Mus musculus: one gene and its partner. The main gene of each other region encodes a partner of the protein of the gene in region 2 in a complex. Links are inferred from orthologs where the notes say so. Each region holds a gene or a part of one and is shown on either strand. Other genes may lie near its edges.

Evidence for each region.
Region 1: the proteins of Sctr (region 2) and Sct are in contact, whole or in part, in a cryo-EM structure (PDB 6WZG), measured with the Homo sapiens proteins. The link is inferred for Mus musculus from reciprocal best matches to the Homo sapiens genes SCTR and SCT. Residues at the interface, in NP_002971.2 of Homo sapiens: Arg30, Leu31, Cys32, Leu35, Asp71, Asn72, Pro117, Val125, Val127, Asn128, Asp129, Asn132, Arg135, His136, Leu139, Leu140, Leu142, Lys143, Tyr146, Tyr150, Arg188, Asn192, Lys195, Leu199, Phe200, Ser202, Asp203, Val205, Met219, Phe222; in NP_068739.1 of Homo sapiens: His28, Ser29, Asp30, Gly31, Thr32, Phe33, Thr34, Ser35, Glu36, Leu37, Ser38, Arg39, Leu40, Arg41, Glu42, Arg45, Leu46, Gln47, Arg48, Leu49, Leu50, Leu53, Val54.

The regions. Positions count from the first base shown.
Region 1 is NC_000073.6:141,277,602-141,280,645, reverse strand, and holds Sct (secretin isoform 2 preproprotein), read left to right. Parts: upstream 1-1,512; 5' UTR 1,513-1,547; coding exon 1,548-1,630; intron 1,631-1,711; coding exon 1,712-1,813; intron 1,814-1,923; coding exon 1,924-2,028; intron 2,029-2,106; coding exon of another isoform or gene 2,107-2,124; coding exon 2,125-2,236; 3' UTR 2,237-2,317; downstream 2,318-3,044. UniProt on the Homo sapiens protein: Hormone involved in different processes, such as regulation of the pH of the duodenal content, food intake and water homeostasis.
Region 2 is NC_000067.6:120,041,368-120,045,186, reverse strand, and holds part of Sctr (secretin receptor isoform 1 precursor), read right to left. Parts: intron 1,880-3,819; coding exon of another isoform or gene 1,766-1,879; intron 1,737-1,765; coding exon 1,639-1,736; intron 557-1,638; coding exon 424-556; intron 1-423.

The DNA of each region.
Region 1 (3,044 bases), on a different chromosome or scaffold from region 2:
GCAAAGCAAAGAAGTCCCAAGCTGCCAAACCCCTCCTCCCAAACTGCAAACAGAGCTGGTCTTGGTGGCTCAGATTTGCAATCTCTGCTGTTGAGGGTCCAGGCCAACTTGGGCTACATAGTGAGATCAAAGGCAACGTGAGCTAAATACTCCGTCTCCCCAAAAAAAACAAAAAGAAACAATTCCTAATAACAAAACCAAACAACAATATGAACTAACCAGTACCCCAGAGCTCTTTACTCTAGCTGCATATGTATCAAAAGACGGCCTAGTCGGCCATCACTGCAAAGAGAGGCCCATTGAACTTGCCAACTTTAGATGCCCCAGTACAGGGGAACACCAGGGCCAAAAAGGGGGAGTGGGTGGGTAGGGGATTGAGGGGGGTGGATATGGGGGACCTATGGGATAGCATTGAAAATGTAAACGAGGAAAATACCTAATAAAAAAAATTAAAAAAAAACAAAACCATATGATTTTTATCTGAGAGTTAGCTCCTAACAGTTCTCTGGGTTTGTAATTTGATATTAAGGGTTATCTTTTTTTTTTTTTTTTAAATATTTATTTATTTATTATATGTAAGTACACTGTAGCTGTCTTCAGACACACCAGAAGAGGGCGTCAGATCTTATTACAGATGGTTGTGAGCCACCATGTGGTTGCTGGGAATTGAACTCGGGACCTTTGGAAGAGCAGTCAGTGCTCTTAACCTCTGAGCCATCTCTCCAGCCCCAAGGGTTATCTTTTTTGATTTGAGTTTCGGTGCTGGGTTGAACTCAGGTCTTGGTGCGTACTGCTACCACTAAGGTCGGGGACTCCAAGTATGAAGATGTTCTGCAAGCCTATTTGTCTTCAATCCCCATCCATAGCTCCCCGCCCCAACTCCTTTACAACCTCTACCCACCTGCGTTTCTTTTATTCTAACCTATCTCCATTTTCTGCTACCAATTCAAATAAACTGTCTCCTTCCATCCAAAAATGCAACCCCAGGCCTACGAGGATTCCCATTTTGTTTCTGGTGCTGAGCTGCCCTTAAGGTGGTTATCTGCAGTAGTCTACCCTGCCCTGGCTTCAGCAGGAGCGCTAGGACACTGGTCTTCCTTTCCTCTCAGTCGTCTGCCTGCCCTAGGCTCCTCAAGACACCTACAGCTCCTTCCAGACAAGAGTGCGGCAAGGTCTTGGTCTAGGCTAGGCTCCAAGATGAGTTGAGGTCTCACAGTGCGGTTCGCTCTGCCCGTCCTGAACTGCCACCCCTATTTTCTATCCCTGGACACAGATGAAGATGTCCATTTCGCTACTTGGTAGCACTACTCCTCTAATCTCCCCCCCCAAGGCAGTTGAGGGGCGCCAACACGGCGGTAGGGACAGGAGGTGGCCGGACGACAGCTGGGTGGGCGGCCCTGACCTTCCTGCAATCAATGAGGCGGGGCCGGCCGCGCGGAGCCGGGGCGGTGCTGGAGCCCACCGCCGCCGGCGGTCCCGGCAGCTATAAAGCGGTGGCGCGGGGCTCAGGCTGAAGTTGCAGCATTTGTCACACCCAGAGCCCGACCATGGAGCCTCCGCTGCCCACGCCGATGCTACTGCTGTTGCTGCTGCTGCTCTCCAGTTCCGCCGCGCTCCCTGCACCTCCCAGGTGAGCAGGGTTGGGAATCCGTTTCATCCCGGCCACGCCCACACTTCAATTTCTGACCCTTATGGCTTCACCCCTCCCCAGGACCCCAAGACACTCAGACGGAATGTTCACCAGCGAGCTCAGCCGCTTGCAGGACAGTGCCAGGCTGCAGCGCCTGCTGCAGGGTCTGGTGGGGAAGCGCAGGTGAGCCCGCGCTAGGTAGAATTTTCCAGACTGGCTAGTATGGGACAGGCCCGCCACATCCCTGTACACCACTAATTCTACTTTGGGCGTGGGGGTGGGGGTGGGGTCAGCGAGCAGGACACAGAAAATATCCCAGAGAACAGCCTGGCCCGGTCCAAGCCCTTAGAGGACCAGCTCTGCTTGCTGTGGTCGAACACTCAGACCCTACAGGACTGGTGAGTTTTCCATCCTCAGCTGGATTCCTAAAGTGCCCCAGCCAGGTGGGTACCCGCACTCTGATGGTCACTCACTAGTCCCCTCTCCTTCCACAGGCTTCTGCCCAGGCTGTCCCTGGATGGGTCCCTGTCTCTCTGGCTGCCTCCTGGACCAAGGTCTGCTGTTGATCGTTCAGAGTGGACTGAAACAACCAGGCCACCCAGATGAGGGAGGAAGAGTCTCTAGGACCCTGGCTGGAGTAGGGATTGGTTGTCCTTGGCATCAATAAAAAAGGAATTTAGACCCTGGTCTTTTAGCTCATGGTGTGTGATGTCTGATAAAATGAAGGCCGCCTCTGCTCCGAGAGCCTGGAAGGCGTGGACAGATCCAGCCATCTCATTCAGTGGCTAGGACCACACCCAGCTGCCCTTTGAACCCAAGAAGCCAGCTAGGACATTTCTTATCTCTGGCATCAGCTGAACCCCTCTTTTCCCAGCTGAATTCCCTAGAGTGCCACCTTGCCCTGTGGTCCATTTAGCAAAATTTCTAGGGATCAGGGACTCCCCACCCTGGTCCAGCCATGTGGCCAGGGTAAATGAAGTGGTGAGGAGGAGGCTCAGGCGGGGTCATAGGGGTCCGCTTATGAGTGGGAGGACCTGAGTACATCCTGGCTCTAACATGTCTAGGCCTGAGGCCTGACGGTGATGTCATCTCCCAGTAGGCAGCTGTAGGACCAGTGAAGGGTTGTGAGACAGTGCTCAGTCTTTGCAGAGGCTTGGAGCCTCGGGAAGGTTTTCAGACACCTAAAGCAGCCAGCCCTGCAAAGGCCCACAGTAGTGAGAGCTGTGCAGGCCCTTTCAACAGAACACCCCCTACGACCCTCCTGATCCCACCCAGGGCCTTCTTCCTATCTCTGAGAGCTTACAGGCAAAAGGAGAGGAAGCATATCTAATGGAGGCCTGGGCTGTGTCCTCACCAGGATTCCTGTCTTCCATCAGATACTGGCTCCCCAAACCCCAGCTCCTAGCTGTGGCTG
Region 2 (3,819 bases):
ACCGGAAGAGAGAAAATAGGTCAGACTTGGTAAAATGCTGTTCTTCTGAAGACGTGTGTGTGCAGACATTCAGGTGCAAACTCGCTTTTTCTCCCCACTCCAATAACCGGCAACTTCTCCCAGACTTTGCCATTTGTCTGTAGCTGGGAGTTGGCAGAGTCCAGAAAAGAGAAGTCTCACCAGAGGTCTAGTTTCCAGAGCAGCTGGGGCGCTCTGAGCCCTCGGAACCAAAGGCAGCCTCCACAGATTCTAATATACGCGGCTTACATCATGCCTCCACGGCTGCATTAGGAAACCTCCTGGAACTCCCACTTCCTGCCAAGCACCGTATCTGTGTAATCTTAATGGCGCGTTGCAAGGAGGACACTATGCTATGGGGTTTGGTTCTCTCCAAGGTCAGTCTAGGACATTTAGTCATGTTACCCTGTGGGCATCACAGTAGGTGACGTCATCTGCGGGGAAGAGTACGGCGTCCTTGATGAAGTTGGACAGGGCGCGAAGGATGAAGGACACAAACAGGTGCATGTGGATGTAGTTGCGAGTGCAGTGCAGCCTCCTGTCAGAGAGAATGTGGGGCTGCGAGATCATGGAAGGAGGGGCTGGTGCTCACACAGGTGTACCTGCCCCTGCCCCCTCCCCTTGCATGGAGAAACCAAAGCCCTGCCACCAGCCCTCAGGTCCCATCTGTCTCTGCTAAGAGAACTCGAGTGAGGGCATAGGTCCCTAGGTGCCTGGCACATCCTGTACTGTACTGAAGAAAGCCAGGCCTAGTGGTGCATGCCTGTAATCCTAGCACCTGGGTGGTGGAGGCAGAGGGATCATCTCAGATTCTAGGCTCCCAGGGGCTACTTGGTGATACCATGACTCAGGACAGAATAGACCAGAACAGAATGGAGTAACATAATCACTAGTTTTGGAACAGCAACATGTCTTCTGCCCTGGCCAACCATCACCTCCAGCTCCCCAGTTTTCTCCTGTGCTCTAGGGACTGGAAGTTTGTTACTGGTTCTCCTTGCCATTATTTTATTTTGAGATCGGATCGTTCACAGCCTCGTCTGGCCTCCAATTGCCTTTGTAGCCAAGGGTGACCATGAACTTCTGATCCTTTTACCTCCACCTGGGGTAGCCACAGGGCATGTGTCACTGTTTCCAGTTTATGCAGTTCAGGGGACTGAACCCATGGCCTTGTGCTTGATAGGTGGGCACTCTGCTAACGGAGCCACATCCCTAACCCCACAAGAGAGCTTTGCATAGAGGGTGTCCAGCCTTTCAGCTTTTCTGGACTGCACTGGACAAAGACTTGTCTTGGAACGCACATTAAATCCAGGGGTGTCCAACCACCGCCTTCTGGATTTGAAGGCATGCATACATATGTTTACATACATTTTTTTGCATGATATTGCAATAGCACATTTTCATCTACAAAATTTACTCCTTTTGTGAGTTACAAAAAAAAACCCCAAAAACATGTTTTAAGTTTCCAATTTTGTGTTGAGCTAGATTCATAGCTATCCTGAGCTTATCAAGATGGCCGGGCAGCGCCCCCCCTTCCATCCTGAGTAATAGGGAGAGATTTAAGGACTGTGTCCCTGCAGGCGGGGGTTGAGGGAGTATTGAGAGTGGGCAGGATGTTCTCACCGGAAAGAGCACAGGATGCTGAGGGCGACCAGGAGCATGGCCAAGGAGGAACTGTAGCCTACAGTGTACATGACCTTGAGCTTCAGCAGGTATGCATGCTGCAGAGAGAGGCACAGGTCAGCCCTACCTGCCCACCTCGATGGAGCTGATTCTTCTGTATTCCAATGGCAGTGGCTTGAGGCAGGACTGGTCCCATCCACCTCCGTGTTCCAACGGCTGTTGGCAGGTCCCTTTACCAGCACTATGAATGCAAGGCTTTACTGGAATACCTCCAGAGGCAAGCTGCTCGCTCACTACCTCTGGTGGAAGTCATACAACAATACAAAATACTAGAAAAAAAAAGGTTTTAAAGAAAAAAAGTTTTTATGTGTATCAGTCTGGCCTCAAGCTTCCTATGTGGATGGCCTTACACTCCGGATCCCCCTGCCTCCACTTCTCAAGTGCTTAGATTGGAGGCGTGGGCTACCATGCCTGGTTTTCATGGTGCTTGAGAATCAACCCCAGGGCTCCATGTATGCTAGGTAAGCACTCTTTCACGCTAACTGCACCACCAGCCCCCTCCCTTTTCGTCTTTGAGACACAGGGTCTTATATATTCCAGGCTGGCCTTGAACCTATAACATAACTGAAGGTGACCTTGAACTTCTAATCCAAGCACAGGCATCAAAGGTGTGTGTGCACTATGGTTCCCTGCAGGAATGTTTTAAAGTAAGATTCAAATTAGCTAACTTTTGTATTCCATCTGTGAGGTTTTTTTTTTTTCCTTCTAGAACCATCTAAAATAAATGCACCTTATAAATGGAGTTTGCCCCATGTACACAGAGCCCTGTCGGTTTTAATAGTCACTCTCCCCTCTGCCCCTCTTATCCTCTCAGCACTCAAGGCCTGTGTCTTCCCTCTCTCCACACCCTTCACCATTGAGTTTAATCAAAAGAGTGCTTTGTTGGTGTGCTTAAAGAAGAGCCCCAGGGGCCTGGGACGATGGCTGAGCACTCCAGAGTGCTTGAGGAAGGCCTGAGTTTGGATCCAGTCCCTACGTTAGGCAGCTCCCAGTGACCCTTAACTCCAACTCCTGGAGATCAGACATATTCATCTGACCTCCAAAGGCACCGCACGCACGCACGCACGCACATATTCGTATAACACACATAAATAAAGATACAATTATTTTTTTGTTGGTTTTCTGAGACAGAGCTTCTCTGTGTAGTCCTGGCTGCCCTGGAATTCAAACTATAAACCAGGCTGGCCTTGAACTCAAATCCACCTGCCTCTGCCTCCTGGGTTCTTGGATTAAAGGTGTGCACCACCACTTCACTGCCTGGCATAAAATGAATACTTTTAAATGACAATGACAAGAATCACATCTCTGTACAGCCCAGGCAAGACGCACAGTGCATCACCCGGCCTGTACCCTACCTTCCTGTGAATGCACCCAGACATTACTCTTTCACCAGCCCCTTCACACTGTGTGATGCAGAAACATTGCAGGAGAAAGGAATACTGAACAAAAACATTAAATAACACCTGCATTTCAACTCAGAAAAATGAACTGTACTATAGTCTTAAAGTGGGTTGAGGAAATGAATGTTATAACAGTGGTTAATATTAATCATATAATAATACATGACATAATTATATATGATAAAGGTTAATATATTAATTCTATATTAATTATAATATACAAAATCATATACTATAATTGATATATTAAGATATAATTATATATTTGTATATTATATATAATTAATATTATATTAACAACCAGACTGACAGATATTTAAAATTAATAATATTCTACCCAGGTACAGGAATAGTGGGAGTGAAAACCGGTTGAATTTTCAGGCAAAGAATGTGTAACTACACATTGAGAGCCTCTGAGGTAGGGGTTTCTTCTGACCCCCCTTCCACTTTAGGACAGGGTCTCACATAGCGTGAAGTGTAGCTGGCGATGATCTTGAACAACCAATCCTTTTATTGCCACCTCCTGTGTGGCGTGTGCCACCCTGCCCAGTTTTCACAGTACTGGGGATGAACCAGGGCTTCCTGTGTGCTAGACAGGCATACTCTACCAACGGGGCTGCAGCCGAGCACTCTAGGAGGTAATTCTAAGAAACTGGGGCAGCCCTCTGTAGGCACAGGTTCTGTGTCCACATACATATCCAATGAACCACAATTTTTAAAT